2 linked regions of the Diceros bicornis minor genome follow. The protein of the gene in region 2 purifies or fractionates together with the protein of the main gene of each other region. This does not show direct contact. Links are inferred from orthologs where the notes say so. Each region holds a gene or a part of one and is shown on either strand. Other genes may lie near its edges. The genes, in order: CSNK1D and PER1.

Region 1 (11,437 bases), about 51 Mb from region 2:
ACACTGGCTCCAGCAGCCCAGATAGAACCTGGGACACTTCCTTCCCAGGGAGACTGTAGTGTTGTGCAAAGCAACCTGGCCAGTCATTGGTGACTCAGTTTCTCTCGCCATCTGAGTTTAGCAGGGAGATCTGTAGTTTAGTTCATGAGGGAGTCGTGGAGATGAATAGGTTAATGGTTACAAAGCACTTTGAGATTCCCAGACAAAAGACAGAGTAAGATAGGCAAGCATTACAACAATGCAGGAGAGCTGCCTGTTGATGTGTCCAGTAAATGCCCAAGAACCAGAGAAACAGACTCCCCTTGTCTGCTCAGATGACTGCACGAGATGGTGGCCGTTTCCAGCGAGCCTGGATCCAAAGCAGGTCACCAATACCGGGGTTCCGTGGGAATAACCACCACATGATCACTGCCAATGACCATTCTAGATTTAAGAACTTCATTTACCATTCCACAAGACTCTTTTGGGCACTCAGAAGAAAGACAGATAATACATTTTGTTCTTCCTGCCCACAGTTGGGACAGTGTGTCCAATTACAAGGGAAATGACTTCATTGTAAAATGTATGGTGCCAATGAAAAATGAACTCAGAGTTCCTGTGAGGACCTGGAACTCTGAACTGAACTCACCAGCCCAGGAGGAACAGATGACTCATCTTTCTAGTCACATCAGCAACTCCCCGCTCCCCAAAGCACAAGTGTCGCCTCTGGTGAGAGCACTCTTGCCCCTCCGACTATGTCAGCACTGTCACCCTTGTCAGGAAGCAGGTCCTCAATGACAAGATAGCGTGGGCCCACACAGGCTACCTACTGGACTAGCACCTTCCAGAAGGTGGAGAACATTTCTGGCTCTACTCTACTGTGGCTGATAAAGCTAATGTCTGACATTCACTCCAGCAATACCGACAGCCTTGGGGACAAATGACCACAGCCAACTTTGGAACACAATATGAATTCCATCTTCCTATCAATGTTCCAGTCCTCCCACAGGATCACACAAGCGAAGAGCCAGCCCTCTGCAGGATTACAGATGTGAAGATTGCCCCAAGTCTGATGACTCAAAGAGGAGAGCCTGGATGTGGGCTCTCTACCAAACAGATGTTGAGAGTAGCACACACTCCAGGCTGCCTCTTCTGGGAGCCCACTGGGTAGAAGTACCAAGCAGCAGTGGCCAGCCTGATTGCATAGCAGTTAAGTTCACACGCTCTGCTTTGGCGGCCCGGGGTTCGCCAGTTTGGATCTTGGGCTGCGGACCTGCACACCACTCATCAAGCCATGCTGAGGTGGCGTTCCACATAGAAGAACTAGAAGAACGTACAACTAGGATATACAACTATGAACTGGGGCTTTGCAGAGAAAAAAACGGAAAAAAAGAGGAAGATTGGCAATGGATGTTAGCTCAGGGCCAATCTTCCAAAAAAAAAAAAAAAAAAGTACCAAGCAGCAGAGCTTCAAGTTCTGTGCATTCCATGGGAACCAAACTTCAGAGGCCACCAAGCAAAACTGAGGTCCATGAGCCCGCAGCCCTGCAGCCTTGCCCCTGCTCCAGGCTGACCACGGCCCCCCTGCTCCACTGGTGGTGCTGCTCCAAGTCTAGGCCTCAAACTGCCACCAGTCGATGAAGAGACAAATACAGGACAGTGAGGAAGCACCGAGGAGCTCTGATAGCAATGTGACATGCTGCAACATTTTAATCTTATTTTACAAAAGCACTGGTCTGCAACAGACTGGATATTACAAAATCTGGTCCTTCAGCACAGGCAGCTTTTAGAAATACGAACTTCTAGATGAGGAACAAGAATTTAGAAGATACCACTGAGCTCCAGATTCAGAACAAGTCAAAATCAAGTGGCATGTACATGTTCACTCACAGTGTCTGTCTATACTGAGGGGTTTTACCTCCCAACAACCTCAACTCTTCTGTGCAGCTTAACAGCCCCAGTCAGATAAGGTCCCCACACTAGGCAAGATGTTCATCTATGTTCAGACATAGGTCCATGCTGGTCCTAGGAAAACAAAATTACATCCCTCAAGTTGAGCAGACAAAGGCAGATGGTCAATTAAGAGAACCTCATCCCGAGTTTGCCCCTGACCTGGGACAGGAAGGTAACTCCCACTGAGGACTGTCTTATCGATGAAGAAATAGGGAGAGGCCTCAGAACAAGAAGGCAAAGGTCCCTCTCACAGGGCAGCTGTTGACAAGGCAGCTGACACAGTACCATGACTTCTCACTAAAAACGCTCAAGCCACCACCCTAAGAACACACGCAGCGAGGACAGGCTCCTCTCCTGGCCAGCCAGCCAGCCACCATTTTGGAATTCCTACTGCATGCCAGGCACCTTGCTAGGTGCCGCTGACAAAAAATGAAAGTCAGCAAGGGGAAAATACGAAAATCAAATATGAAGAGGTAACTAAGCTTTAGCTTCCAAAAGGTCTTTGTGTACATCATGAAATCCGTCCAGGTAACAGGTGGATGGATCAGGTCACACTGTGATAAACTGACGGAGCAAGAGGATCAAACACAAATGCCAACAGCTGACAGAAAGAAAACCTCTGTTCCGTGAATCAAGAATGGGAGGGGGGTCTGAGGACCCTGCTGCCTGTCTCTAGAAGACAAACATGGACGAGAACAGAGCTCCATGAGAACAGGGGGCTCATGCCACCCCTCCGGCACTTGGCGCCTCGCAAGCACTCCCCAAACACTGGCTGAACAGAACAGCAACTGCGCCGGCCAGCACCACCACACAGCCTGGGCTCCAGCTGGCCACCCGCACACACTCTTCTCCCCTCAGCTCCAAGGGCCATACTGGAGTTTGGAACACATGGTCCACATTAAGAACACTGGCTCTCCCTTTGTTTTCACATATATCAGAGATATACTGCCAGCAAAGTAAAAGGACTTCTGGTTTCCACTGCCTCAAAAACACACCACCTCCAGCAGCGAGGGGGCACAACCCCGTGGAAGCTAAAGCTGAGGGAGGCAAACGGCCGGGCGGGGTTCACCTTATACCACCTGCAATACCAAGTGCAGTGACATTCTGCCCAATTGTGTGCTGCCCAGGGTGTGTGAGCTCTGAGGCCTTCCCAGCAGCCTTCTCTGGATCTGGCAAGCTGAGAGGGAGGCAGACTGAGGATCGAGGCTGCACGTTTTGGGGTCTACCTGGCTCAAGTCCAGTCCACAGACTTTCTGAAGCCTGGGCACTGGAGAAAATAGCCCCAAGATCCTGCCCCCCTTTGAAGGGGCAATTTTGGGAAGGACTGGAATAACTGGCAGGGCACAGTGCCACGTGACCACGTCAGCACAGTAGGCCACCAGAAAGACAGACCAATACTGGGCCTTCTTGGTCCACAAGGCGCTTGGCAAGCTGAAGAACAGCCTTCCCTACTCCCAGTTTCAAACGTGTGAAAGCACAGAAACTTCCAGGCAGAAATCCAAGACCCCAAACACCAGGCTCAAAACAAGGTGACCCTACCTGGAGGAGTCAAGAGCCTTCTGACCAGTAGCAAAAGGATGGTAGCAGGAATGATTTTAATTGTAATCACACAAAATACCTAAGACATACCAATTTTCAAGATCAGGACTCAGTTCCTTAACTAATGCCTGATTAGTTGCCTAAACAAATAGAAAAAGCTATGGTACAGGTGACTCAATCCATCCCATCATCTTTGGACCAGTCATCTTTGATCTTTAACGACAGTATGTGGTGAGCTTCCTCAGACCCACCTTTCTAGCCACATCTTACTCAAGCTAACAAGATCATTTCACATTTTCTCAGTGGGGTCGTGCGTAGCCTGAAAGGGCTGCCATGTGGGCCAAGAGCCAACACTGATTGAAAAAAATGGGTTGTGCCCAATCCCACACAAGTAACTCTAAGTTTACCCTGATGCGTGAGCTGTGTGGGTACTCAGAACAAGGGCTCAAGAACCACAGTCCACCCATCTTAGAACACACATGAAGCAGGAGACTGAGGACAGACTCCTCTGGGACCAGTCAGCCTGATATGTATCCAGTGCTACCCGTGTGCCCAGCACCAGGTGAGGTCCAAAGGATGCAGTAGTGAATAAGCAGACAGGGTCCCCCACAAAGCTCCCAGTCCCGATGAGAAGAGCTTACACCTTTGTGAATGACTCGGTGACAACCGTTTCACAATTTGATTGTCTGAACCCAGCTTTAGAAAGCACAGAGCTGTCTGGCAAGGACAGAAAGTTTCACATCTACTTTTTGATGCTTGCATAAGAGTGGCTCATGGAATGGCCTTTCAGTACAGCTCCTAGGTTAAAGCTTTTGCCAAAACCTATTATTCTATAAATAAGGCAAACAGCTTGCATTTACCTAGCACTTTGCCTCCCAAAACGCTGCTGAGAATGCAGCTGGCTGACTACTGGACATAAATATTTAAATACTAAATTCCAAATGCTTCCAAAGTGTATTTTACTCAGCAGGACAGTAAGGCAGAAGTATAGGTTCAAAGGCATCAATATGGCAGTAACGGTGTCAGGGTATCTAGGCACCAGAGGCAGTTATGAACTACCCAAACACGTCGACTCCTCTTAACAGCCCCCGAAGTCCTGCGTCTTCTCCGGCCAAGAAGGAAGGATAGGGCGGTGGGCACACACACTTGGGATCGTCTGAAAGGCATAACCAGAGGCATTACCGACACAGGAAGCTATTCCTGACCCTCCCGGACAGGTACACCGTCCAAACAGAAACAACAGGGCGTGGCTGCGCAACAACACAACACGCTGACCCCAAACTTGCGCAACGACAGTCTTTCAGTCTTTCTGAACACACACCGTGTGCCAGGTTGGACGTTCCCAAATCCAGGGGGTGTGCAGTAACTTACACATAATTCCTCTGAGAAATGCAGAAAAGTTGTTTTAACATTCCCAACTTTAAGATTCCAGCCAACCTTTTATTACACACGTGTGTGCGCGTATTCTTCCACTGTAAATCCGAAACAATCCAGAACATTCTAATCCCAAATGTGTTTTTCAACTCTACCTTGAGAATTTTCAAAGCCAAAAGGGCAGGCTCACGAGCAGGGCTTCCTACCTCCCTTGCCTCTAATTCCGCCAGCATCCTCACACGACTCCGTCACCGCACCTGACTCTCAGGGCTGTCCGGGCGCAGGTGCCCAAGACAGAGCACGGATGCCCAACACGTCCCTAGCCACCACTCACCACTGACACGGCCGACCCCGCGCCCGTCCTACCGTCCGGAGCCCACGGTCCGGCCCGAGCGCGCGGCTGCACAGGGCCCAGCCGGGGCTCCCCGCGCCCACCTGCCCGCACGTGCCAGGACGCGGGGCCACGCGACGCCCGACGGCCTTCGTCGGTCTGCGGGGACACCGCCACCCCCGGGCCCGGCGCGCTGGGGCCAGTGCCTCGGGGCCGGCCGGGGGTCCCCGGGGCGCGGGCGGAGGGGACCCGATTCGGTTCGGCCAGGCCCGGGGGAAGTGCCTCACCGAGATAGATGTCTCCGAAGGAGCCGCTGCCGATCTTGCGGCCCAACCGGTACCTGTTCCCGACCCTGAGCTCCATGGCGGCGGCGGCCCCGGCTCGCTCCTACTCTCCCGGCCGCTTCCTGGGTCTAAGCGCGGGGAGGCGGCGCCGCAGCTGCCGCTACTGCGGGTCTGGCTGCCGGCTCCGCCCCCCTCACGGCCCCGCTTTCACCATCGCTTTCCGGCCGCCCCGTCGCTCCCAGCGCCTCAATACGGGGCGGAGAGAACAGTCCGAGCGCCGCCGCCCCTGCTCCAGGCCCCTGCGACCCCCCTTGCCCTCTCCCCGCCGCGGATGGACTCGGATCTCCCGGGCCTAACTCCCCCTTCAGCAGCCTAAAGGAGCCGCCGCCATCGCGCTGTGACGTCACTTCCCCTAGCAACCTGGAGGGGCGGGGCCGCGCAGCTCGGGGGGAGGGGCCGCGCTGCGCGAGGGGCGGGGCGGGGCAGGGGGGCGAGGGCGCCCCGGAGTTTCCGCGGCCCTTGGACACCCCAGGCGGCTCCCTTCTCTGTTTGTCGCCTGTTCCCGCACCGCAGCACCGTGCCGAGAGCCCCCCGCCCGACCCCCTCCCGCATGCAGGCTCCACGTGCTCACGCGGGGAACTCGTTTGACCCCGCAGGAGGAAGCCAGTGGCTCTTAGCAACAGGCCTGGGACAGGCCGCCAGGCAGTGCTTTTTGCAGGAGAACGAGAGGGGCCGAGCCCGTCCCTCTAGACCCCGGGGACCCGCGCCCTTGAGACTCTCCAGGAGGAGGCCGCCCTTCCTGGCCCAGCGTCTGGAGACAGAGACACAGGTCGGGCCACAGCGGACACAGGTGTGCACGCCTCTTGAGGTGGTCGGGGGCTGGCCGGGGACGTCTACTGTGCAGTTCCCTTCCCATCCTGCTGTGCCAAGTCCCGGGCTTGCAGCTCAGCCAGCTGTCACACCTGAAGGGTGAAGGGGAAGCTACCAGGGTTTCAAAGGATGAGGCCAGACTGCCTGCCTCTCCAGTCCCATCGGTCTGGAGACTGAATCAACGTTTTTATCTAACCTGTGTTGAGTCTGAATATTCTTCCTTGCAAAATAAAACAAGAATGTTGATGTTCCGGCTGACCGCCAGCTTCATGATCTGGACTGTTGATTCCAGTCACTGGGAAGGGAGTCCTCCAGAGAGGCACGGAAACCAAGAAGGAATGACTTTCATGTCAATGCTTCTCTAGGCCTATCCCCCACCCCGGCTAAAAAGGAAGCACCATAAAACCGGCTGTTAATACAGCAGAGTGAGTGCCCTCCCATGGCGCTTGGCAGGCTGGTCTCTCCACTCCGGAGTCCTCCCTCTCCTCCATTCAGTCTCGGTAGTGCAGCCCATGCCGGAAAATCGTTGGAGCTCAGGTTGGGGAGACTCCTGAGCATTGCAAGGAGTGCCTGGAGACAGAAAGAGAGGCCACAAGGCAAGCCAGGATCAGTCGCTAGTGAGTGGTGGGCAACTGGGAACACCCCATGTCCACGTGCAGTGGTCAGCCTAGTTTCTCAGTCTTATGAGGTTGGGGGGATTTTGCCAAACCAGTGAAAAGAGCCTTTTTGGCAGAATTTGCTGATGAACAATGCCCAGTTCCCCGGCCAGAGAAAGCCACGAGTGCAAACTGGAAACAGAAGGGGGCCTGGCCCCTGCTCCCTGGAAATACTGGACAGGCCACTCGCTCAGCTGCCCTGGGCTGATCGCTGGCCAGTGGTCCCCTCCTGGGCCTTGGTGTCCTCTCAAAAAAGAAGCTGTAGCTGTTTGGGCTGCCCCGTAGGCCCTGTGGTTCTACCTGCTTCACCTGTTTGTTCTCGGAGTTGGTCAGGACAGCCGGCCAACAGCAGGACCAAAGTCCTTGCCTGTGTTTCAGTCCACGGCTGTGATGGAAAGCAGCCAGAAGAGGCCTGCGCAGGGGCAGAGCCACCATCTTTGAGGGGCCTCACCAGGGGCCTGTGCCAGGGTTCCAGGCCCTGTTATCCCAGCACTTTGCTGCAGGTAGCCTGCCCCAGTGGCTACAGTATCCTTGTGTGTGCCTCAGTTTCCCATTTGTGAAGCACGCTTGCGGGGCCAGGGCTTGCAGAGGCTGTGCTAGGACAGCTGGTTCCCCACTTCCGGCCTCTACACTCTTCCAGATGGGAATCCTCTCTGTGCTCACGGCTGCTCTCTCATCCTACTCTGCCATTCACTGTGTGACCTTGAGAAGGACGGAAGTCAGTGCCCCAGACTGTCCATTGGAGCGTTGCCTGAGGACCAGGAGTTACACAGGAGAAGGCCGGCAGGTGCAGGAGGCTTTCGCACATGCCCCTGTTCTTGTTGGGAACGGCCTGGGACATAGCAGGCACTCAGTAAATGCTGGCTTCATGAATGACTCACGTGGATGAACTCCCAGCTCCTAGGCTAGGCCATCCCCAAACAGAACTGCGAGGTGGAAACCCCGCCTTCACTGTTGGGGTGGCCTCCCTGGACCTGGCCCCCAGCTGGATTTCATTGACCGCTCCCAGCCTCATGCTGCCGGCAAGGTCACTGGCCTGTGCCATGCCCTCAAAACTCACTCACGCCCAAGATTCCCCAGGTGTGTTCCTGACTAAGCAGGGGGCCCCTCTGCCCTGCCTGGGGTCTTCTTGTTTCAATCCAAAACTGCAGTAGGAGGAAAGTCTCACCCAAAAGGCTGGGGGTGGGGGCTGGAGGTCTTTTGGGCCCGTCCCTCTCCTGGCCTTTGGACTCCCTGGTCTGCCCGTGCAGACCCACACATGTCCCTGCTGAGCTTCTGCCCGGGTCCTGTGTGTCTGCAGGCCATTCCCACTCCAGGCGGCCTCTGGGGTTTTTTTCGTTTTGTTTTGTTTTGTTTTTGTGAGGAAGATTAGCCCTGAGCTAACATCCATTGCCACTCCTCCTTTTTTTGCTGAGGAAGACTGGCCCTGGGCTAACATCCGTGCCCATCTTCCTCTACTTTATATGGCACGCTGGCACAGCATGGCTTGACACACGGTGCGTCAGTGATCCCCCAGGATCCGAACCTGCGAACCCCGGCCCACCGAAGCGGAGCGCACGCTCTTAACTGCTGCGCCACCAGGGCTGCCCCGGCACCTGGTCTTAAAGCACTTCCAAATACTTTGTCCCCTTCCTTATAACCCAAATTCCCTGTGACCTCCTGGGCAGGCGAGGAGGTGTGGGAGGGGAGTGGACTCCCAGTCTGTCCTCTGTCCTCCGTGGAAGCGGAGCCCAGGGAAGCAGACTGAGAACGGCCTGTCCTGGGGTGTGGAGGATTTTCCATGCTTGCCCTGTGTGTGTCTGTGCGCATGTGTGAGCAGCTTTACCGAGATACAGTTCACATACCACACAATCCACCTGTTTAGACTACAATTCAATGGTTTTTAGTATATTCATAGAGGTGTGCAACCATCGCCACAGGTTTACATTTTAATCGCCCCCCCAAAGGAAGCCTCTACCGTACAGCTATGCCCCCCACGCCCAGTGAATGAATGGAGGGCTGTGCTCTCATTCACTGGTGTGTCGCACTGCTCTCCGAGGTCCAGCCAAGGCTGGCATCAGCTGCAGAAGTTCATGTTTTCCTGTACCCTGAGAGCACACATCTCCCTTCTCCCATCCTGGCCTCACGCCAAGGGTTCTCGTCAGACCCTTTAGGGGCGGGGGGCAGATACACACTCTAGTCTCCAGAAACAAGAGGCGTGTGTGTGTGTGTGTGTGTGTGTGTGTGTGTGTGTGTGTGTCTTGGAAGGACACCTGACCTGGGATTAGACATGGGATGAGAGCTACTCTGGGGTCCTCGCTGCTGTCTCTCATGGTGGCCCTGCACCTCCCAGCTGCTTGGCTCAATTCTTCCTCCTCTTGACTGACATGCCTTGGCTTCTAGTAGTTTCTGCCCCTTGAGCTCCCTACCGTGCCTCCATTCAGCTTTGTGAGAGAAAGTAACTGGCTGGTCCTGGTTGGCCAGTTTTTTTCTGCCCCAGGTCACAGGTCACTGGCAAGCCCAAGGCTGGCACCTTGGAGCCAATTAATGGGGGCGGGTGGGGGTGGGGCAGGGAGGGGACAGGGTCATTTGCACAAATCATGACTACCTTTTGCTTCACTTCCCCTTGGCCAGAGCCAGACTCTGGACTCTGGCAGCCCAGAGTCACTGAAGAGGGGATTTGTGCCCAGGCTCAGACCATGGAGAGAAGGTCACCCCCGCTGCTGCCCTCCTCACCTGGCTTCCACGCAAGTCTCCTCATTCTGCTCCTGCTGGGCATCAACAAACCGTAGGAATGCTGACCTGTGTTGTTCCTTTCCATATTATCATTGTGAGATGCAGAAACTGAGGCCCAGAGAGGCTGTCCTGTTAAAATTTCTAGATTTTCCAGGCAGCTGCAATTTGAAATATTCCGCATGATTTTAACAAAAGACAGCAAAAAGAGAAGTTTGAGAGAAAATGAGATAGCCAGAAGCTGGAAACAACCCAAGTGTCCCTGGACAGGTGAATGGATAAACAAAATGTGGTCTGCACACACAATAGAATATTATTCAGTCTTAAAAAGGGAAGGAAATTCTGATACATGCTAAATATGGTTGAACCTTGAGGACATTATGCTAAGCGAAAGAAGCCAGACACTAAAGGACAAATCCTGTATGATTCCACTTATATGAGGAACCTAGAGGAGTTACATTCACAGAGACAGAAGGTCAAGTAGAAGTTACCAGGGGGAGGGAGAGGGAGATGGGGGAGTTGTTGTTTAAGGCAGACAGAGTGTCAGTTTGGGAAGATGAAAGAGTTCTGGAGATGGATAGTGGTGATGGCTGCACAACAATGTGAATGTGGTTAATGCCACTGAACTGTACACTTAATGGTTAAAATGGTAAATTGTATGTTGTGCATATTTTACCACAATTTTTAAAAAATCCACGGACCAAAAAAAAAAGGGGGAGGGAAGAGGGAGTGGAGAGCCTAGTATAGACAACTCTCTATCCTAAAAGGTTTGGCAGGAGGTAACTTGGGATCCTTCCTCCTGGAAGGTTGCCCTCCCTTCCCGTGAGCACCGGCTCTCTCCTGCCCTGCCCCTTGGCAGCCCGCATGACTCTGATGCCTCGAATCTTTCTTGCTTTCCACACCTGGGGTGCAAGAGCTCCAGACAGCTGCAACGGTACTGTGCTGGCTGCCTGGTTCTTGTTGTTTGTTTGTATCTTGACTCTGTAACCTAGACTTGTGCGTGGGTGTTATGAGAGGTTCGGGGATTCGATGGGAGATGTAAAAGACACTTTCCACTCCAAACAAATGGACTGAAGGTATATTTTATTATATAGAGGATAATAAAGGCGATAGTCCGCAAACAGATCCGAATAGGTCAAATAATAAGAGGGAAAAAACACCAGCTCGACTGGAAAGGGAAAACATCCACATCGGCTGAGATAGCAGCAGATCCGAATAGGTCATATAATTTTTTTTTAATTTAATTTTATTTATTTATTTTTCCCCCCAAAGCCCCAGTAGACAGTTGTATGTCATAGCTGCACATCCTTCTAGTTGCTGTATGTGGGACGCGGCCTCAGCATGGCCAGAGAAGCGGTGCGTCGGTGCGCGCCCAGGATCCGAACCCAGGCCGCCAGCGGCGGAGTGCGCGCACTTAACTGCTAAGCCACGGGGCCAGCCCCGAATAGGTCATATAATAAGAGGGAAAAACATCAGATCGATCGGAAAGGGAAACACCAGATCGACTGAAGGGAAATGACACAAATCAACCGGAAAGAGAAACACCAGGTTGACCGAAAAGAGAACACATCAAATCAGTTACTTCACAGTAAATCAATTACTCACAACATCCGCGCCCCACTGCCGGGAGAGTCCTGTCAATCGACACGGCTGGGCAAGGATCACACATCCTGGGCAAGGCGTCCCTTCCACAGGTGGAACTCTCACCAGGTCTCAGCTTCTAGCAGTTTATATAAGCA
Region 2 (11,950 bases):
CCCATCGGGGTTCCAGGGGCTGGCCTTGCTCCCCAGGGCAAAACACCACCGCCACCGCCCTCCGAGCAAAAGACCCCCAGCCTGGCGCTCGCCTGGATCCCAGTCATTCTGGTCGAGACGACACACTTTCCTTCTCCGGCTCCTGCACCCTCTCCCGATCCCCAGGACCAAAGCCGGCACCTGCCATTGTCAGGGACCCAGGAATCCTCTCCCCTCAATCCTCTCCTTCTCTAGACACCCCCCACCCCACCCCCATGCGAAGCAGACCCACTCAGCTCTGAGCAAGGGCCGCACAACAGCCAGCGGATTGTTCTTCCCCTACTCCCCGTCCAACCACACCCCCAACACTCCGAGCATTTTCGGAGCGCCAGGAGAAAAGGGAAGGCTGTGGCCAACAGCAGGAACTAGGGCCGGGAACGGGATGTTCCAGCCCGAACCAGGCTGACATCACGGCCGGCGCGGGGCCAGGGACTGGAGGGGGGAGCTCGGGGAGCGCGGAAAGCCTAAAGGGGTCCTGGTGCTGGGGCAAAACATGGGACCCCCAAGTGACAAGAAAGGTGTAGGGGTCATGCCTGCTGAGGGTCGGGTGTGGGGTCGCGACAGCTGGGAACGGAGGGCAAAACTGGAGGTAAGGTAAGCGGGTCAAGAGTGCGGACACTCGGTGAAGGGTTGCGAGAAACACCTAGGTCCCCGGGGGCCGAGAGGGGATGGACAGGGACAAGGAAGGCGGATTTTACTGGTGTGCCGTCCGAGCGCCTGGGCCGAAAGCGGCCCATTAGGCTGGAAGTGGCGGCGGTCCGGCTCGGGACCAGAGACCGGCCCCCGGGTGGCCGCGGAGATGCCTACCTGGCCGCGCGAGCGCCCTTCGGCCGCCTGCCCGCCGCCGTTGCAGCCCGCAGCCGAGTGGAAGCTCCGCGGGGCCAGGAGGCGGGTTGCATAATGCCAGGCACTGCCCTTCATTGGCCTCCAGCCGGCGGAGCCACAGGCCCCGCCCCCGATTGGCTGGGGCTCTCGTTCCGGCGCCTGATTGGCTACTGGCCCCCACTGAGGTCGGGGCTGTGTCACACACACGGGCGCACGTGGATCTGGGTGCTGGCGCTGGGCTGAAGGGCCGCAGACACCCACTGCCCAGCCAATGGGCGCAGGACGCCTTGCACAGTGAATAATGGGAGGGAGGGAGGAGGAGGTAAGCTGCCTCTCTTTGGGGAAAATGCCTGGGCCACAGTAGGTGCCTGACATGTCTACTTCCTGAACTGACCAGCCTTGCAGAACAGGACACCTTGGCCTTGCCAGGGATGGGGAAAAGGAATGCAGACCCTGGGAGGTGAGCCAGGGTGGATGAGATGGCTGGTCCCTGGGAGGAGGGGGACAGACATAAACCCGGCTTGGCCTTTCCTGGGTGCTCCTCCCCAGCCTTGTCATCATAATAAAGCCGTTTTACCCAACCCCTTCCTCTGACACTTCAAATCCTGTGGACCGCTAGGAGGAGCGCAATTGAGGGTCCACGTGTGATGGGGGGTGGAGTTGGCGGGGGAGGATGCAAACAATAGAAGGGGCAACTAGAGCCAATAGGGTCTGTGAAGGGAAACCATGGCAGGTGCTTCTGTGGCCAATCAGAGAAAAGGTCTCTGGGCAGCCTACGTGGTGACTAGTGCTTCTTCTCTCCTGAGGATGCAGCCACCCACAGTTAGGGCTGTCCCAAAAGTAGGGGCCAGGAAGCCAGGGCTACAGGGGAACAAAGGGGGTGGCTGAGAGAAGAGACCAAATGGGACTCTAGACAGAGAAAGGTGGGATGGCGAGGGCTTCAGATCCCCACCTCTAGGAAAAGAGAAAGCCAAGAACCTCATCTGTCTCCTTCACTGTATTCCTCAGGCCCCAGGACAGAACCTGACACATGGTAGGTGATCAATAAACTCCGTGATTTTATTGTTAACAAAGCTAGGTAGGGGAGGGGAAGCAGCCTCAGCAATGGAGAAGGGACTGGAAATTATAATTTTTTAAAAGAGGTGGGGAGCAGAACACTGAGTCCTAATTTGGGGGAATAAAGTGCCAGGCTGGGCCCGGGAGAGCTCCAGCTCCATCCAAGACTATGGTGAGTAGTTCCTCTCAGGGCTCCCTGGAAACGTGGGTGGCAAGTGCAGAGGCCCCCAAACTGCTGCTGACAAAGTCAGCTGTGGGTGCACGCCCCTCACTGTCACGTGGCCTAAGCTTTCCTTAACAACGGTGTTCCCCATGGGGGTGGGGGGCAGAGGAGAGCACTGTGGAAAAGCTGGGACACAGGGATGTTACAAAATAACCCAGAAAAACCAAAGCAAGAAAACAGGAAACAAAGGATTCAGGAGCCTAGATTCTCAGCCTTCTCTCCTTGAAAATGTCCCCCCAATTCATATACTGTGGCCCACTCCCTTGCCTCATTTTCAGACACCTCTTCTCCGGAAACATCGTTTCTCTTCCTCCCCAACTCGCGTCATGGATTTAGGTGTGATCTCCCCTGACACAGGCAGTCCTTGCTCTCCCGCCTCCCCCTCCTTTATCTTTTGCATGGACAAAAGGGTCCAGCGCTCCAGCAGCCCCCGCTTGCTCTCAAGGCCCTGGTTGTCCTGCCTCACGGTCCCCACAGTAACCAGGCCCTGCTGCCGTCAATGGAGGAGGGGGGCGGGAGATAGCAGTGACGTCCAAGTGGAGGAAGGGGGCGGGGCGAGGCAGTCGGGGAATGTGGAGCAGGGAGGCTGGAGAGGCAGCGGTTTGGGAGGCGGCCAGCCCGAGAGGGCGGCGGCCAGCGCACTTGGGAACATCATGTTCTCTTGGCTGGTGGCCCAGGACATGCACCCAGCCTGGGCGCCTCCCCCAAACCAACGACAGCCGTCCTGTCCCAAAGCCAGGGATTCCTGGAAAGAGGATTAGGAGGAAGGGGTCCCCCGCGCCCGCCCCCACGCCTGGCTCTCTTCTCAGGACTCGCATCCGCCTTCCCCTGGGCTTGTTTCTACAGCTTCCGGCACTGGCTTTCCTTCTCTCCCAAACTGTACACATCTGCTGGCTCAGTCCCAAAGAGCCAGGGCGGGGAAGTTGGAGGCCCAGGTTCTGCGAGAGAACACCACCTTTGCTCCTTCCAGAGGCCCCCTTCAGAGCCTGAATCTCTTGTTATTATGGCAGCAGAGACACGGAGGAGGGGCGGGAAGCAGAATGGGTCTAGGATGAGGAAATCGAACCGGAACAGAGCAAGTGGCCCAGCCCGGGGCTTGGATCCTGGGAGAGGGATACAAGAGTGGAATGACGATTTGGGGCTGCTGCCTGAAGACAAGAAGTACCAGGAAGAGGGAAATGGGGAGGGAGACACCAAAACTTCCAGAAAAACTTGAGAATGTGAGAATAGTTCCCAACCACAGCATTCACATAAATCTCTCACCCTGTCACTGTTCTTTTGTCATCCTAAAGCCATTATTTTTTAGCTAAAAAAAATTTAAAAACAGGACCCAGGCATTTCGCTAAGCACTTTACATACATTATCTTATTTAATTCCCAGAACAACCCTGTAAGATGGGTATTATTATCACCACTCCACAAGGACCAACTAAGGCTCAGAAGTTACTAAACTTGCCTAAATTGCCTCATAATATATTCTCAGGCTCTTAACAAATGAGGCCCAGGGTTCAAATCTGAGCCATCTGATAATGGCTTATCATTCTGGCTTCTTACCCTCAGGAACCTATGAGGTGTTAAATAGCACTGGGGAACCTGGGCCTATCAAATACCCAGCACTAAGTTTGGTGCTTCGATCCAACCCCTCCTTTCCTTTGGGCTGAATCTCAGACATTCAGTTTGCATTCTCCACACACTTTGAATCATCATAGCCCCAGTCTTCACATGCTCACAAAGTCCTTGAGATCACCCTAGCAGCCACCACCCCAGTGGTTTCCTAGGGACCCCACGTCCTCACTCTTCCACCTTACCCCAGGTCACTTTACCACAGACCTGGTTGTTTGTACAGACAGATACCAGAGCACCCTGTTGGTGCCTCCTCACCTTCAGGGTCTCAGGAAGACATGTGCATAGCCAATCTGCACAACCCCATCCTCCCTCTCAGGACTCAACAGTTTCTACCCCACCTTTACACCCAAGGATGGCTCTGAGGCCCAACCTCTCCCCTTTACACACGAGAAAGACATCCAGAGCCATGATGTGACTGGCTCAGGGTCATACAAATCATCTCACCACCCTTTCTCAAATCACCATGTCAGCCCTTCGATACTCTCCCACCTGCCCTACCAGGGCCTCCTTCCAGCCTCAGAACTCCTGCCTCTTTTCAAGTGCTTAAGGCACCCACTCAAACAGCAGCCACGCACTGGAACGTTCCCCACCAGCTCTCAGGGGTTCCGTCCTGGGACCTCCAGGGAACAGGGGTCTCAGGTCCTCAGGTCGCTGAGGGCTTCCGAGCCCCTCCTCCCAGGCAGTCAGGGGTCCAGGTGCCCTAGGGCGGTGAGGGATCTGATATCAGTGACTCCCGCCCACGTCCCTCTAGAGCTGAGTTCTCGGTCCCTATTCCCCACAACCATCAGAGCTCTCATCGCGGCGAACACGCATTCGCACGATCCCCCCGGCACTCCCTCCATTAATACCCCTCCTGACAGAACACACCAACCGGGAAACACCCATACCGACCGCCGCTCGTCTCCCCCCAACCCCGAGCACTCACCGCTCGGCGCGCACGCAGAGTCCAATATCTTCGCAACCAGGACCAGAGCTACCGGGACTCGCTCCTCCGAGCCCACCCACCGGCCGGGCTGCCACGCCCCTCAAGCTTATTGGCCTAAGGGCGCCGACCCATGCCCCGCGCCGCGTGCGGCCGCCCGGCCCCCGCACCGGCACCTTCGGCAACCACCGCCCGCCGTCATTTTCTCATTGGTCAGCTTGCCAACCGGCAGTGACAGCTCCACGTGCGGGAGGGGCCGCCCCTGCGCGTTGATTGGAAGTCTGACAGAAAGCCACGCTCCCATCCACTTCCGAAGTTCCTATTGGCTGTGGCAAAATTCCCCGACCTGCCTAGATCGGTGACGCAAATTCCAGTCCAGCCCCCAAACTTTCTCATAGGCTGAGATGTGCCGGAGCTGTAGAGGACACGTGCCGGCAGTCTCACGCGGCAACTTGTTTACCTAGAAGCTGGGGATTTTCCTTGACGACATTGTCACCCGACAGCAGAGTCTGCGCAGGCGCATGTGTAACCTGCACGCAGGCGCAGACATGAGCGGCGGTGGCGTTGGTGGGGGCGCTTTGTGCCGAGATTGGGCGAGCAGTCTCGGCCGTGACAAGAGCGCTCCCCACGCTAGGACTCCGGCCCTGGGTCCCCGAGGTTCCTCGAAGCTGGAAGGTTCGAACCTTAGGGTGAAGCGGTCTCCATATGTCAGTGCCTCGTGATGATGACGACGATGATAGCTGTCTCTTGATTGATTTCTGTGGACCAGGCCAGGCGCTTCTTACAAACCCAGAGGCCAGCTCACTTACTACCGGCTCACTCACAAATGAGACTGAGCTCCAGAGAGGTAACATGATCTGTCTGGATTAACACTAGTCAGTAATGGGGTCAAGATTTGAACCCAGGTCCCTGACACTATAAAGAAGATGGGTCCTAGGATCTAGGGGAACCCTAAACCTGGAAACAATTCAGTATTTGAAGTGTGAAAAAGCCCTGAGCACTGTCTGCAATATAATAAGCCCTCAATGAACGGTGAGACATTATAATAACTATGTACCTAATTATAAGAATCACCTGGGTCCCTTAGACAATCTATTTTAGAAAGCATCCCTGGTAGTTCTTAAGAGCCCACAAGTTTGAGAAACACTAAGTCTCTTATACTGCTGAATCTTCATGTTGCAGCCAGAAATCAGCCCTCCACAGCTCACCTGGCTCTCTCCACATATTGCTGAAGCACCTGGGGACAGGAATGCTAAGGTGCCACATCAGGGGCATCATGGAGACTAAGGGAGTTCAGACGGTCTAGAGTCACCAGTTGGACAACACAGAGTGCAGGGGTAGCAGGCCATCCATGGCCAGCTCCACACCACACTCAGCTGGGTCTTCTTGAACTGATTCATTCACTAAGTACTTATTAATGCCTTCTGGATGCTGGCACTGTGCTAGGCACCAAAGGGAAGCAATGTTTTGCACAAGTTAGCCATCTATTTCAGCCCCAGGAGTAAATGACCATGGGAGCGACTGCTGAGCATCTGGGAGTTAAATCAAAATGTAGAAAGGAATTCAACAAACAGCAGAAGCATGCCTCCCAAGCAAGAAAAGGGGCGGGGGAGTTGGGAAGCCCAGACCTCAGGGTTCAGGTGAGACGCAGGGATCAGGAACACTTCCTGTTATCAACTCCTGGTGCCCCACCGTGGCCACTCTGGGAATCACACTTTGCCCTACCCAAGGTCAGGCCCTCCGGCAAAGCTCAGTCCCTTCCCAATGTGTCTTCTCAACCTTCCTGTTATACCTGCAGATCCAATACCCTTCCCACTGGTTAAGATCTTAGAACAGACACCACCTGGTTACTCATTACACATTTATTGTACATTTTCACAATCTGGATGTGCCACAGAATTGGGGGCATGGGGTGGGGGGGCAGGGGACACTGGGATAATATGGGGGGGTCTAGAACACAGCACCCCCACCCCCAGCATCTCTCCCTACCCTTTCATACCACAGCTTAGATCTCCCTGCTCCCCCTCCACCCAGAAACTTTGAGTGTGGGGGGAAGAGTTGGGGGTGGGTCCCCTCCAGTGGCAGGTTAAGGGACTGCACTCTCAGACCCCTAAAATTGTGCCATTTAAAAAGATATTAGACCCTTCCTCTATCACTTCACCTAAGGAGGACAGCTCTAGCTTTGGGTTTCACCGCCCTAGAGAAGGGTGAGAATCCCCATCTTCCAGCAAGTCCATGTACACATTGGCAGTAACTAGTACCCCACCCTGAATTCAAGGGGGCAGTCAGAGGAGCTGGGCAGTGATGGGGGCAACACTCCCCAAATTGGGGAGGAGGGTTTTTAGTCCAAGCCCCAGCAGGGGTGGGGCCAGAGGAGATTTCAGGCAGGAATTGGGGGGATTCTCTGTCCTGCCCTACTCCTCCCCAAGGCAGTGATGACCGCCCACACACTGGTAGCCACCTCTCCCAAAAGAAATCACATTGTGGCCAACCCCCAACTCTCCTGGTGGAAGGGGGAGGAGGCAGATCAGGCAGATGGGAGGGAGGGAGATCCCATGGGAATGTCAGTTGGGCACCCCACATGAAAATGGGGGAGCAGGAATGTGGGGAGAGACTCCAAGTGGCAGAATTAATGGTCCATCATAACACACTGAACTCCAAGACATTTTACACACCAGCTGGGGGGAGGGAGAGGAGGGGACAAGAGGTTTGGAAAATGGGAGTAGGGGAGGCAAACTGGACTAGGGGGGCTAGGAGGGGGCAATTCTGGGGGCCAGAACAGCCTGGCTCCCCAAAAGCCCAGGCTCCCCACCACCTGCAAGTAACATCATGCAAATGAAAGTGTGATACAAGGACAAATGGGGACTAACTCCTCAGTAAAAAAGAAACACGGGTTGAAAGAATGAAAAGTGATGGAAAAAAAAAGGAGGAAACCAAAAGGGATGTCAGTATGCAAATGATTGCTAATTAACATGCTGCAAGCTCCCAGAAGACCTTGGGATTCTTAGGACCAAGTGGGGCCAGCCTCAGAGCCTCCCAATGATGCAAAGAAGATGCACCTAAGGAGGCCTGGACAGTTGCTTTTTGCTTTTTTTTTGTAGGGGACTGGGGGTACGGGGAAGGCCAGGGTGGAAGGAAGGATCAGCTAAATCCAAGGGAAGGAGGAGAGGAAGAGGGACTATTGCATAGCAGATGCAAATGAAGGGACTTGGGGCTGGTTAGGAAGAGAGGGAAAGGGAAGGAGGGAAAGAGAAAGGAGGTGATGGGAACTTCAGGAAGGGGTGTTAAGGACAACCGGAAAAATCTTCTAGTAATAAAACTACAAACAGACCAAATATATATAATATTATATATGTATAAATAACAGCTGGCTATTTACAGGGGGGGCACACACACGGACACACACACACGGATCCAGGGGAGGGGGGGTTGGAAGATATGGCTGAGAGGTGGAGGAGCGGCTGGGGATGGAGGGGAGAGGCCCTTCTCTGGGCAGGGCAGGCTCCTCAGGGGTTTAAGAGCTGAAGTAAACTGTAGAGAGGGAAAGAGAAGGAAGAAGAGGGAGAGGGGAGAAAGAGAGAGAGAGAGAAAGCAGTGTGTCAGGCCTGGCCCTGCTCCCATCCTCCCCACTTCCCAGCTGGCTGACATCCCTTCCCCTCTCAGTCTCAGGTTCACCATCTGTAAAGCAAGGGGGCTGGACAAGTGAGTTCCAAGGTCTCTTCAACTCCATGGTATGGCCTTGGGGCCACAGACCCCTAATCCTCTGGGCCTCTGAGACCACAAGGTCTCAAGGTGGTTGGCTTCCTAGCCATGACTCAAGCCTTTCCTGCTCTCCCACCCTCCAGTTCCAGGGTTCCCAGACTGGGCTTTCAGGCCCAAAGGGTCCTCAAGGGAACAGTGAGGATCCACCTGCTTTCCTGTTTCCAGAAATCTTAACAGAAATTGCCCAGAACCAGGCAAAGCACAAGCTAAACAACATCAAGGTTTTGGGCTCTAGGTGAATCATAACTGCCGTGGCAGCTATATATGCTTTTTGCTGAATAGTAAAAAAGTAGGTTAATGATCTTCAAAACCCAGAATTTGCAGGGGGAAGCCTCTCCAGAGAAAGGGACCTAGCCACTCCCACCCTACTCACCGATAATGATGATGAGGATGATGGCGCAAATCACTCCCAAGATGATCATCATCTGGGGGCGAGAAGAGAGAGTGAGACAGACCATGATACCCCCCTTCACCCACCAGTCCTATCTGCCCTCTCGCCTGCCTGCACCCCTACCTTGAGGTTTTTCCACCAGTATTTGCGCTTGAGCTTGGCTGCACTTGTTTCAAACTGGGAGGCCCCCGCCTGAAGTGCGTCTGCACGATCGTCCAGCTCTGACAGCTTCTGGTCCCGCTCCAGGACCTTGTCCACGTTCACCCTCATGATGTCCACCACCTGGGGGAGGGGCCCACAAGGCAGAGGGTGTGCCAAGGCCCACTTCAACGAGGGCACTTCTTGACCGTGTGCCCACATATGGAACATGCACCCCGATGTTGCCAGGCTAACATGCCAAGGACACACACAGAACATGCCTAGCACACCTCGGGACATGCAAGGGGCATACATCAGGGGCATGCTGGTAGCCAGACATCTCAAAATGTCATAGCAGCACCCTCTACTTATCAAGCCTCCAGCAGCCTGCCCATCACCAGAGCACACTTGCTCAGGCTGAAACACCCCAGGCTAGCAAGGCTGACTAACCCCAGGGCCTTTCTAAGTGCATGCTGACAGGGATGGGGCATGGTATGTCTTTGTCCCAAAACCAATAAACGTGAACTGCCATCACCCTCGACCCAAGATGGGTCCCACGCCGGTTTGCCAGCCCTCAGGGTCCTTCCCACTGCCTTTGACACCCCCCATACTCACCTCATCCACCTGAGCCTGGGTCTGCTGCAGTCTCCTGTTACTGGTGAGGTTTGGAGGTGGTGCAGGGGGGCCTCCCTCCCCAGCTGGGGCGGCAGGGGGGGCGGTGGCAGCGGTGGCCGACCTGAGGGGCAGGAACCCATTAAGACCCAGGGCCTAGAGCCTCTAACCCCGTAGCCAGGGCTCCGCCCATCCGCCTGTCCATCCATCTGTCCATCCAACCGTCCCTCCCTTCCTCCTTCCCAGGAGGAAGGCCACCCGATGGGCGCCCTGGACTCCGTCGGGCTCTGCCGCCGACAAGCTGCGTGACCTTGAGTGAGGCCTCCTCCCCACTCCGGGCCTCAGTTTCCCCGCTTGTCAAATGAGAGCGACCTCACAGACACGGTCGGGGGTCGACCCGAAATGACTAGCGGCAGCGATGACAGAGGCGGACGGCCGCCGGGTCCGCTCCCTCCTGCGACCACCGCCCGCGCGGCCAGCCCGGGACGCGGGGCTCTCCGGCTGCCCGCGCGCAGTCACGGGCGCCGGCCTGGCCTCGGGGCGCGGGCAGCGCAGGGGGCGCGGGCCGAACCCGGGCACTCCCCGGGCCCGCACCCACGGGGGCGGCCGGCGCAGGCAAGCCCGGTGTGGGCGCGGGCGGCCGACTCACATGGCGGCGGCAGCGGGCGGAGGACTTGGCAGCTGCAGCGATGGCGGCGGCGGCGGCGGCTCGCGCTGGCTCCGACTGGCGCTGGCTGCCGGGGACGGGAAGATGGCGGCCGCACGTCACCCACATCCGGGCACTGCGGGCGGGGGCGGGGCGCGGCGGCGACTCGTCTGGAGCCGGGCCGCGGGGGCGGGGCGGGGCGCTGCGGGGAGGGGGTCGCGCCCGGCGGGGCTGCGTGCATGGAGCTGCGGTGTCCCCCGCACCTGTCCCCGCCCCGCGAGCCCCAAGGCTGACTGCCGCGGCTTCCCCACATCCGCCGCCAACCCGCCCTGGCTGACCAAAGACCTCACAGCCACCCCCGCGCCTCTGCCCCTACGGCCCCCCACCCCCAAACCACGTCCTCCCTCATCAGTCCCCACCCCACACCGCCCAAGGTCTCGGCCTGCACCCAGGTCCCAGTGCCTGGTGACCCGCCTTCAGCACTTGGAACGGGGATGGGAAATCAGGTCCGCGGGGCAATGTGGATAGCTGGGACCCTGCTGTCGAGGTGGAATGGAGTGGTGGGAGTAGGTCCCCAACCCATCACCCTGCAGGCGGAGGTCTCAAGGGAGGTCTAGGGCCCCTGGCTGCCGAGGAGGGGGGTATGAAGAAAAGGAGATGAGGCAGGCTACCCCCCGCCTCCGCCCCCAGCCTCGCCCCAACCAAGTCACTGCAGTGTGTGAAAGATGTGAAAGCTGTCCCTCCTCACAACTGGAGTTCAGACCAGGGGTACTGCAGGCCAGGACCCACTGAGGCTGGGCAAGTTTAGGACCCCAGGGAGGAGGGGGAGGAGGGCACGAGGCTGCCCCGTGGGACTGCTTCACGTGGTGGCTGCAGACTGGCCAAAACAGCTCTGGCCCAGGGCTGGGTCACCTACCCCCGCGGCAGGAGGAGGGCTCAGTTTTTGATCCCAGATGCAGGGCCTGGGCGGAAAGGACAGGGCATTTTTTTTCCCTTTAGGGAGAACGAGGACAGTAGGCAAGGGGACATCTGCAGTGCCCAGGTTACATGGTACTACTTTACACACATATTAGCCTCATATGTGTGACCTTGGACAGTTCCTGTCTTGTCTCTGGACCCAAAATATATTACATATGTAGGCACTAAATATATATTTGCTAAATGGCTTGATCTGGAACATGGTAGGAGGAGATTATCCATGGCCCTTTCCAGCCCTGACTGGTCTCTCTTTAGGTCCTTGAAACAGACCCAGCAGCTGCACACACCCCCCTCGCTCATTCTCAGCCGACCTGGCACGGAGGGGAGGAGAAAATGGGACCAGGTGAGCTGCCTATCCGGTGGGGTGGGTCAAGGCAAGCCTCACGAGTGGAGAAGGAGGCGTCTAGAGGAGGCCTAGTGGGGGTGCTCACTGCATCCCTGGAAGGGGAGGAGGGGAGGCTCGTGGCCTTGGTCTCTGAGACAAACAGGAGCCAGCTTCTTCCCTCCTCCACCCAGGCTTCCCAGGGCCTCTGGGTGTGATAACCTCCCCCAGGCAGCACCCCACCTCCTCCCAGCAGAAGCCTGGGGACGGGCGCTGTCACCAGAGGTGTCACTTCCCAGCTGTCTGGGGGAGGTGAGTGAGCAGAGAGTATGTGTGGGGTGTGGGGACTCAGCAGATCTAAGATAAGGTGCTCTTAGCTCCCTCCTCCTCCTAGGAGCAGCCACTTCCCTC

Evidence for each region.
Region 1: the proteins of PER1 (region 2) and CSNK1D purify together in Homo sapiens (affinity purification with mass spectrometry; 4 studies listed by BioGRID and IntAct, counting the BioPlex papers as one, with this or other methods). This does not show direct contact. The link is inferred for Diceros bicornis minor from reciprocal best matches to the Homo sapiens genes PER1 and CSNK1D.

Annotation. Positions count from the first base shown.
Region 1 is NC_080757.1:61,654,560-61,665,996, forward strand, and holds the start of CSNK1D (casein kinase I), read right to left. Parts: upstream 5,828-11,437; 5' UTR 5,540-5,827; coding exon 5,464-5,539; intron 4,628-5,463; exon of another isoform or gene 4,531-4,627; intron 1-4,530. UniProt on the Homo sapiens protein: Essential serine/threonine-protein kinase that regulates diverse cellular growth and survival processes including Wnt signaling, DNA repair and circadian rhythms. It can phosphorylate a large number of proteins.
Region 2 is NC_080757.1:10,251,548-10,263,497, reverse strand, and holds the start of PER1 (period circadian protein homolog 1), read right to left. Parts: upstream 4,764-11,950; 5' UTR 4,694-4,763; intron 3,768-4,693; exon of another isoform or gene 847-3,767; intron 1-846. Other genes in the region: VAMP2 (vesicle-associated membrane protein 2), read right to left, coding at 8,205-8,221, 8,826-8,877, 8,967-9,305. UniProt on the Homo sapiens protein: Transcriptional repressor which forms a core component of the circadian clock.